Linked DNA regions of Oryctolagus cuniculus. The protein of the gene in region 1 purifies or fractionates together with the protein of each later gene. This does not show direct contact. Links are inferred from orthologs where the notes say so. Each region holds a gene or a part of one and is shown on either strand. Other genes may lie near its edges.

Region 1 (4,264 bases):
CAAATTTAATACACGAGATCTTCTAAAATTATTTTACATACACCTTTCTTCAGAAATATTTAAAAAAGGGTATTAATCACACTCTATTCTAAATTAGTGGTTATAATTGTTTTCTGTTTTGAATTTTAAAAATGCTTATTCTTCATGTTCCTGGAATTTTTCTTTAAGATGAACATAACAGTGTATTTTAGGAGATAATTTTTATTAAACACACACACACACACTGAATGAGAGTCTCAACCTAATTTGAATTGTTTACACATTCGTGGGAAAACCTAGTTGTTAACCTTGGTGAGGGTTCTTTGAGATTGCCTTCTGCAACATAAACAGATTTCTTCCAATCAGAAGTAAACACCGCATTTTCACAGAATGAGGGTTATTGTATGACAACAAACAAAAGGACGTTTAAGCTATACACGCCTGGTCCTCAAACTTCAGCTGGCACTACTGGGGGCTTATGAAAACACACGAGCAGGGTTGGAGACCTTAGACGCTGCGTTTCTAACAAGCAGAGGTAAGCTTCGCTCCACAGAATCTGAGCGCACTGGCTCCTCGATCCTTTTCCTGAACCTCAGGCTCAACCGATGTGTGCACCTGACGGTGCCCGCCGCCGGCCCCAGGGTGGGCAGCGCAGCGCAGGGACCCTCGGGTGGGGGCGGGCCCCAGGCTCCCCTCACGCAGGGTCCCGGGGGAGGGGGTGGAGGGTCGCCCACGACCCGTCCCCCAGGTCCCCGCCAGCCGACCCTGCGGTCCCCTCAGCAAACCTGCGCCCCGCGCGCCCCCTCCCCGGCTCCGTGCAGCAGTCCTGCGGAGCGGGACGCACAGAGGGACGGGCCGGAAGCCGGGACCCCGGGGGAGACAGGGACAGCCCGCGGAGGCCAGCGCGGCCCCGCGCGCTGCACAGGGAGGGGGACGGAGCACCAGCGCGAAAGGGACCGCGTGGGACGCCGCGGGTGTGAGAACGGAGGGGAACCGGACGCAGCTGAGTGGGACAAAGACGGACGGAGCGGCCGCCAGGGAGCAAGCTTGCGTAGGGTGCTTTGCCGGACCCGGCCGGGCCCGGCTAGGGTCACACCGACGGATACGCAGGGGCCCGGGCGGGCGCAGTCCGGCACGGTTCCCCCCAAAGCGGCTCCCTCAGCCCGGCTTCCCCGACCGCCGGCCGACGACGGCGCTCGGCCGCGCACCTCCCAGCACCGACTCCTCCGGCGCGCGACGGCCCGCGTCTTATATACCCTGCTAAAAATAGCCTGCGAGGCCGCCTTCCAATCAGAGAGGGCAGAGTTCGAATTGAGCCAATGAGGAGGGCTGTGATGGAGAGGCTCGGTCACGCCAGGCGGGGCCGCTGCGCGATGTCGCTCGCCATTGGCCGGAGCTGACATCATCTGCGCGCGGCCCTCGGACCGGGCGCGACCGGATTGGGCAGCGCGCGGGGCGGGCGCGCGGCGAGTCACGTGGGGGGAGGGGGAGTGGGGGGAGCCAGCCCGGGGAGGAGGGGGGAGGCTGGCAGAGGAGCTTTGAATAGGGAAGTTTTGCAGGGGTTACGTTTGCAGTCAGTCCGGTGTTTGCAAATATTGTGTGGGCTCCGCGCGCGCGCTGCGGGCTGCGGGAGGGTCCGGACCGGGGCGTCTGATTGAGTTTGCATGAAACTTTCACCTGCCCTGGCGGGGAGAGTTTCGGCTCCGACTCCAGAACGCACACCTCCCCGTGTTCCCGACAGCGGGGACTGTCTTTTCCAACCCGACATGGATGTGCTCCCAATGTGCAGTATCTTCCAGGAACTCCAGATTGTGCACGAAACGGGCTACTTCTCGGCTCTCCCGTCCCTGGAGGAATATTGGCAACAGGTAAATAGGGATTTTTTTCTCACGTGTCCAGGGCGCCGAGGAGGGAGTGCGTGGAGGCGCCAGGCAGGGTGGTGTGTGCTCGGAGGTGCAGCTTTGGATGAGGATGATTGCTGTGGTTCGAGTCATTTAAAAAAAAAAAAAACAAAAACAAAAAAACATGGAAATCCTGATCTCGGAGCGCCCTTCGGCACGCTCGGGGGTCGCTCTGCAGCGCGCCGCGGAGTTGACAGCCGAGCCGAGCGAGCCCGGCTCCGCGGTGCCCGGCGTGTTTTTTCCCTGCCACCCGAGCGTCTGGAGCATCCACCCCGGGGGAAACCCGAACTCCTCGGCCTGATCCCGGCCCGAGCCCTTGGCACGAGTCTGGCGTTTGTACCGGGTCCAAACTCCACAGCTGGACGTTGTCATATGAACGCACTCGCACGGACTGCCAAGGCATTTTTTTTTTAAGATTTTGTTTTTGTTTTGCTGTTTGGTGTGTATCCATACAGCTTTTTTTTTTTTTAATCTTAACATTTTTGACAACGAAACATAGATCTAGGGCATTTCCCATTTGTTTTCCTTGTTTGGAATTCTTAACATGAACCTAGCTCTGTCTTATTTTTCTTACTTGCTTCTCTTGTTGACCAGGAAAAAAAAAAAAAACTGTTTGCACACACCAGTGACTTGTCAGTCATATGACAGGCAGCCCTTCCTAATTGCCTCAAGTCTTAGTTTGGGAAGAAGAACCCCTGTTTCCGGCATTTTACTGGAACTGGAATGTGGGGCATTGGGAATTTTAGAAACTTAATTTTTTTTTTCTCCTTCTAAAAACCTCGGATTGCCTGAGGAGAGAGACTCCAACACTTGCCCCATTGTCTATAAAAAGATAGCAGGAGGGTCCCCGTGTTGTGTCTCTGCCCTGACGAGCTGTTTGCTTTTTGTCACAGAGTGAATTAGCTGATCAAATAGGTTCTGTGGGTTTCCAAGTCTAGAAAGCTTTTAAGAAGGATGAAATGCGAAGTGTTGCAGCCTTCCGATGCCTGCTTAATTGTTCCCGATCCTCTCCTGCCTTCCTCTCCCCCTCCCCCCTTTTTCCTCCTCAAAGACAGGACGTGATTGAAATTGATCTAAGTAGTTTCCTTCGGGCATTTGGGATTTGGGCAACTAGCCAGACTTGGCTCCTGGTGGCCTTCAGAGGCTTTTAAACTCTCTGAGAGCTTGGTTGAGGTCCCTGGTGCTCATCAGGATAATGGAGATTTTAAATTAGCCAGATTATGAAAGTTTAACAAGATCGCAATAAATGTGCTTTCCTGTGTCTTTGGAACATCAATAAAATAACATCGCCGCCTCTCTTTGGAACACTCTCGTATGCACTGTAACTCAGACATCTAATTTTAGGGGGAGAGAGAAAACAATGATTTTACCCCTTTGCTTGCTCATGCTTGCTGTTTTGATGAGTCTGTGGGGAGGGGGCAGGATGTGCATATATTACAATAGAAGGCACACTGCTAAGTAAGCATGAACCCCTTGGGTAGCCTGTGCTCAGGACGGTGCGCGCCCTGCAAATGATTTGTTGAAAAGAGCAGCTTGGTGTAGCAATTTCAGTGTGTGGAATTGCCAGTAGTACAGCCAGCCTTATATGGGCATGCAGGCAACTGATCCTAGTGAGTATCAGGGCAGACATCATTTAATCCTAAAATGTTTCCTACCATTTTTCTTTTCCAGTGGCTAGAAAGTTTGAAATGGTGGGGAGAGGGGATGCTGATCTCGGCAGTTGTAGCTTCTTGAAAGGTTGGTTGTGGGGCTGGGGAGGGGCACCCTGTCCATGACACACTGCATGTATATTTGAACCGGGTCCTTATTTGGCTGCTGGTCAGAATTTCAAAAGGAAGTCTCCTTTGGCATTGCGTGAAAGAAATAGGAGTGATGACTCATACAGTTGTACTCTTGGCCAGTAGATAAAGTTCTTGTTCATTGTGGGACTCCCAGCAGGGCCGTGGAGTAATTTCCCCCTTGCTTCCTTTACAATAGCAGATGGCCATTCTGGAATGATTCCTCCACTCCTGTTGTTGAAGCTTCTTGTTTTTCTCTGACCACTGTAGAAGCAATTAAAGTTTTGTGGCATGCATGGCCCTGCACTTGGGAATGGCATTCTTTGAAAATGGACTCGGTCTGGGCTACACAGGAAATGGGTGGTTTCTCTGCAGCTCCATTGATGTCCTTGAATACAGACAGTTAGTTGCTGTCTGTTCTCTGAGTATGGCCCTGTGTCGTCAGCTGTGTCCCCAACGGGGTCCATCCGAACACATTATGTGCTGTGCAGTCTTTCTGTCCTGTTGTGTGGATACCTGTGGTTTGTGAAGGGTGGATGGATGACTGGGGCTTTCCTTAATACCCAGGGTTCTTGACAGTGTCAGATAATCTGGTTAAACCTGTTT
Region 2 (4,150 bases), on another chromosome or scaffold:
ACCACCTAATCACCGTAAAGACGTCCCCAGAGGAGGGCCAACATGGCGACGGACTTCTCTTGGCACAGCCCAGTTCCCTCCCTCATGATGGGAGGCCCAAATAACACCCATTGCCCAATTTGGAGGCGGTGCCAGACTCACCTCGCTCCCTCATTGGCCTGAGTAACTGAGGGAGAAGCCAATTCACCTCTGCCCACTCTAAGTTCCCGCCTACAGAGCCCACTCGGAATTTAATTGGTTTTTAGTTCACGTCAATATGCGTCCTCTTCCGTCTCTTTTCAGCATTTACCCAATCATAACTTTCCTGGCTGCCCGCCTGATTTCTGATTGGCTATGATCAGCTTCAGCCCAGCCCATTCCGGGCTATTTCTTACCTCTCCTCCCACCAGGACTTTGCCCAGGCACGTCCCGGATTGTGGTTGGTCATTGATGTGTCATTTCTATCGAAGCTCTTCCTATCGCTACCTCTCAGGGATCCCGCCTGCTGGCTGACTGGCTTATTTCCAAGCCTATCATCTCTAGCGCCCGCCTACCTTCACTTCCTGCATTCTTCATTGGCCTTGAAAATTGAGGGGGCGGCCTTTTTGGGCGGATACCAGGCATTCAACTTTGTCTTACACGCCTCAGGGAGCGAGTGAGTATTGTCATTGGATAGCCTGCCCGCCTTTCTTCTCCAAGTCCCTCCTTTCCCCCTCCCTCATTGGGCGGGGCAGCACTGAAGGGGCGGGGCCCAGGCTGGGCTTGCGGCGCGCTGCTCCCTCCTCCTTACCCCCCCCCTCCCTGTCCGGTCCGGGTTCGCTTGCCTCGTCAGCGTCCGCGTTTTTCCCGGCCCCCCCCAACCCCCCCGGACAGGACCCCCTTGAGCTCGTCCCTCAGCTGCCACCATGAGCGGTAAGGATGAGTCCACTCCACGCTGAGGGGTGGGAGAGGAGTGAGGGGGCGCGCGCGAGGGCAGACCGGGCGGTCCCCGCCGTGAGGGGGGGCGGGCGGGAGGCGGCGGCGGCGGCCTTGGTCCCGCCCGGGGCGGAGGGAAGGGAGGGAGAAGGGGCAGTGGCGGGGCCTCCGAGAAGGAGGGGGATGGGCCGCCCGCCCCGGGGGAGGGGGCAGCGTGGCCTCGCCCGCCCCCTGCCCGCCCCGGCCACGGGGGGGACGGCCTTACCCCCCACAACTCGGCCTCCCGCCTCAGGCTCCTCCCGTCGGGGGGCTGGAGCCGCGGGGGCGGCCCGAGCAGGGCAGGCCCCGCCCGGGCCAACCGCCTCCCTGGTCCGCCCTCCGGTCGCCGCCTGCCCCTAGGCCCTCCTCCCCCCACTTTCCGTAGACCTCCCCTCCCCCCCAGCGTCCCGCCCTTTCCACGCCCCTCACCCCGAAACCGCCCTTTCCCTCCAGGGCCCGCCCTTTCCCCGCCCCGAAACCTTCTGATTGCTCACTCCTGCACCCCTTTATCCCCTTACCTGTGGTCCCCAATGGTTCCCCACTCCCGCTTACCGTTTCTCCTTCCCCCCTTTTCCCCTGTCTCCTCTCGGTGCATTTTGTACTTGGATTTTTTGCCTCCATCGCTCTTGTCCCTAATTTTAGCAAGCTTTCCATCCACCCACATGTTGTTTGGCCTTACCTGTCCTGCTCCTTTCTACCCCCAGGACACGTTTTCTTATTTTGAAACCCTTTGTACGGGCCTGCGTGGCCTATTCCCAGAGCACCTTTTTCTGAGTTTAATTTTTGTGCAAGGAAAACCTGAGGCCAAACTTCGTGGCCGTGAGCCTGGCTCATGACACATGTGCCTTGCAGTTCCCCCCTGCCCCAATGCATTTTCTTTGTACTTCCTGTTAGTCACTGCTGTTTCATCATAGCCTTCTGTAAACTCTCCTGCACTCTATCCACCCCCTCCTCCCCTTCCCCCACGCTAAGTTGTTTTTTCTTTTTCATTCTTTTTTTAGACCAAGATCACTCCATGGATGAAATGACAGCAGTGGTGAAGATTGAAAAGGGAGTTGGTGGCAATAATGGGGGCAATGGCAACGGTGGCGGTGCCTTTTCTCAGGCTCGGAGCAGCAGCACGGGCAGCAGCAGCAGCAGTGGAGGAGGTGGAGGCGGGCAGGTGAGTGACAGCCGGAACTGGGGGCGGGGAGGTGTTGAGAGGATGGTTGTAAATACTCGTAGAAAACTGGCTTACTCTTCCCAGAAGAGTTTTAGGAGAGGATTACATTTTATAGATGGGGAAGCCAGCGCAGAGACTCAAGGAACTTAGATTCGCTAAAGATGGTAGTTTGCAGCAGTACCGATAGGACCTCCTTTCTGTTTTTGGGTTGGTTTTTTCCCCCCCTTTTTAATCTTCATTGTGTTGCTGTTTATTTGTTGTATACTGCCCCCTAGGCTGGTGGCTGGGTGTCACTAACTCCTCTCATCTCCCCCTTTCTGGCCAGGAATCCCAGCCATCCCCTTTGGCTCTGCTGGCAGCAACTTGCAGCAGAATTGAGTCTCCCAATGAGAACAGCAACAACTCCCAGGGCCCCAGCCAGTCAGGGGGCACAGGTGAGCTTGACCTCACCGCCGCACAACTTTCACAGGGTGCCAATGGCTGGCAGATCATCTCCTCCTCCTCTGGGGCTACCCCTACCTCAAAGGAACAGAGTGGCAGCAATACCAATGGCAGCAATGGCAGCGAGTCTTCCAAGAACCGCACCGTCTCTGGTGGGCAATATGTAGTGGCTGCCACCCCCAACTTACAGAACCAGCAAGTTCTGACAGGATTACCTGGAGTGATGCCCAACATTCAGTACCAAGTAATCCCCCAATTCCAGACCGTCGATGGGCAGCAGCTGCAGTTCGCCACCACGGGGGCCCAAGTGCAGCAGGATGGTTCTGGTCAGATACAGATCATACCAGGTGCAAACCAACAGATCATCACAAACCGAGGAAGTGGAGGCAACATCATCGCTGCTATGCCAAACCTGCTTCAACAGGCTGTCCCCCTCCAAGGTCTGGCCAATAATGTGCTCTCAGGACAGACTCAGTATGTGACCAACGTCCCGGTGGCCCTGAACGGGAACATCACCTTGCTACCTGTCAATAGCGTTTCTGCAGCTACCCTGACTCCCAGCTCTCAGGCAGTCACCATCAGCAGCTCGGGGTCCCAGGAGAGTGGCTCACAGCCCGTCACCTCAGGGACGACCACCATCAGTTCCGCCAGTTTGGTGTCATCACAAGCCAGCTCCAGCTCCTTTTTCACCAATGCTAACAGCTACTCCACGACGACTACCACCAGCAACATGGGAATCATGAATTTCACCACCAGCGGATCGTCAGGGACCAACTCTCAAGGTCAGACACCCCAGAGGGTCGGGGGGCTGCAGGGGTCTGATGCGCTGAACATCCAGCAGAACCAGACGTCTGGAGGCTCCCTGCAGGCAAGTCAGCAGAAGGAGGGAGAGCCAAACCAGCAGACACAGCAACAGCCGATTCTGATCCAGCCTCAGCTAGTTCAGGGGGGACAGGCCCTCCAGGCCCTCCAAGCGGCGCCGTTGTCAGGACAGACCTTTACAACCCAGGCCATCTCCCAGGAAACCCTCCAGAACCTCCAGCTGCAGGCTGTTCCAAACTCTGGTCCCATCATCATCCGGACACCAACCGTTGGGCCCAATGGACAGGTCAGTTGGCAGACTCTTCAGCTGCAGAACCTCCAAGTTCAGAACCCACAGGCCCAGACAATCACCTTGGCCCCGATGCAGGGTGTTTCCTTGGGGCAGACCAGCAGCAGCAGCACCACCCTTACACCCATTGCCTCAGCTGCCTCCATCCCTGCCGGCACAGTCACTGTGAATGCTGCTCAACTCTCCTCTATGCCAGGCCTTCAGACCATTAACCTCAGTGCGTTGGGTACGTCAGGAATCCAGGTGCACCAGCTCCCAGGCCTGCCGTTGGCCATAGCAAATGCCCCAGGTGAGTCTTCGAGTCTTTTGGAAGTCTGCATTTATAATGAACTGACTAGCATAGCAGCTGAAACTATGGAGTGGGAAGAAGGGAACAGCACCTTTTGGGCTAACACTTGCCCCAGGGCTGGTCAGTTAGAGAAATAGCAGTGCTTCTTTTGAAATCATGTGGAACTAAATTAACAGAAACTTTTCAGTTAATCTGATGTGAAAGGAGCAATTCT

The links. Proteins that work in one complex are often made in the same cells at the same time.
Region 2: the proteins of KLF6 (region 1) and SP1 purify together in Homo sapiens (affinity purification with western blotting, with the first as the bait; 3 studies listed by BioGRID). This does not show direct contact. The link is inferred for Oryctolagus cuniculus from reciprocal best matches to the Homo sapiens genes KLF6 and SP1.

Annotation. Positions count from the first base shown.
Region 1 is NC_091444.1:92,835,051-92,839,314, forward strand, and holds the start of KLF6 (Krueppel-like factor 6), read left to right. Parts: upstream 1-1,464; 5' UTR 1,465-1,643; coding exon 1,644-1,847; intron 1,848-4,264.
Region 2 is NC_091442.1:56,373,616-56,377,765, forward strand, and holds the start of SP1 (transcription factor Sp1), read left to right. Parts: upstream 1-1,350; 5' UTR 1,351-1,765; coding exon 1,766-2,095; intron 2,096-2,420; coding exon 2,421-3,936; intron 3,937-4,150. UniProt on the Homo sapiens protein: Transcription factor that can activate or repress transcription in response to physiological and pathological stimuli.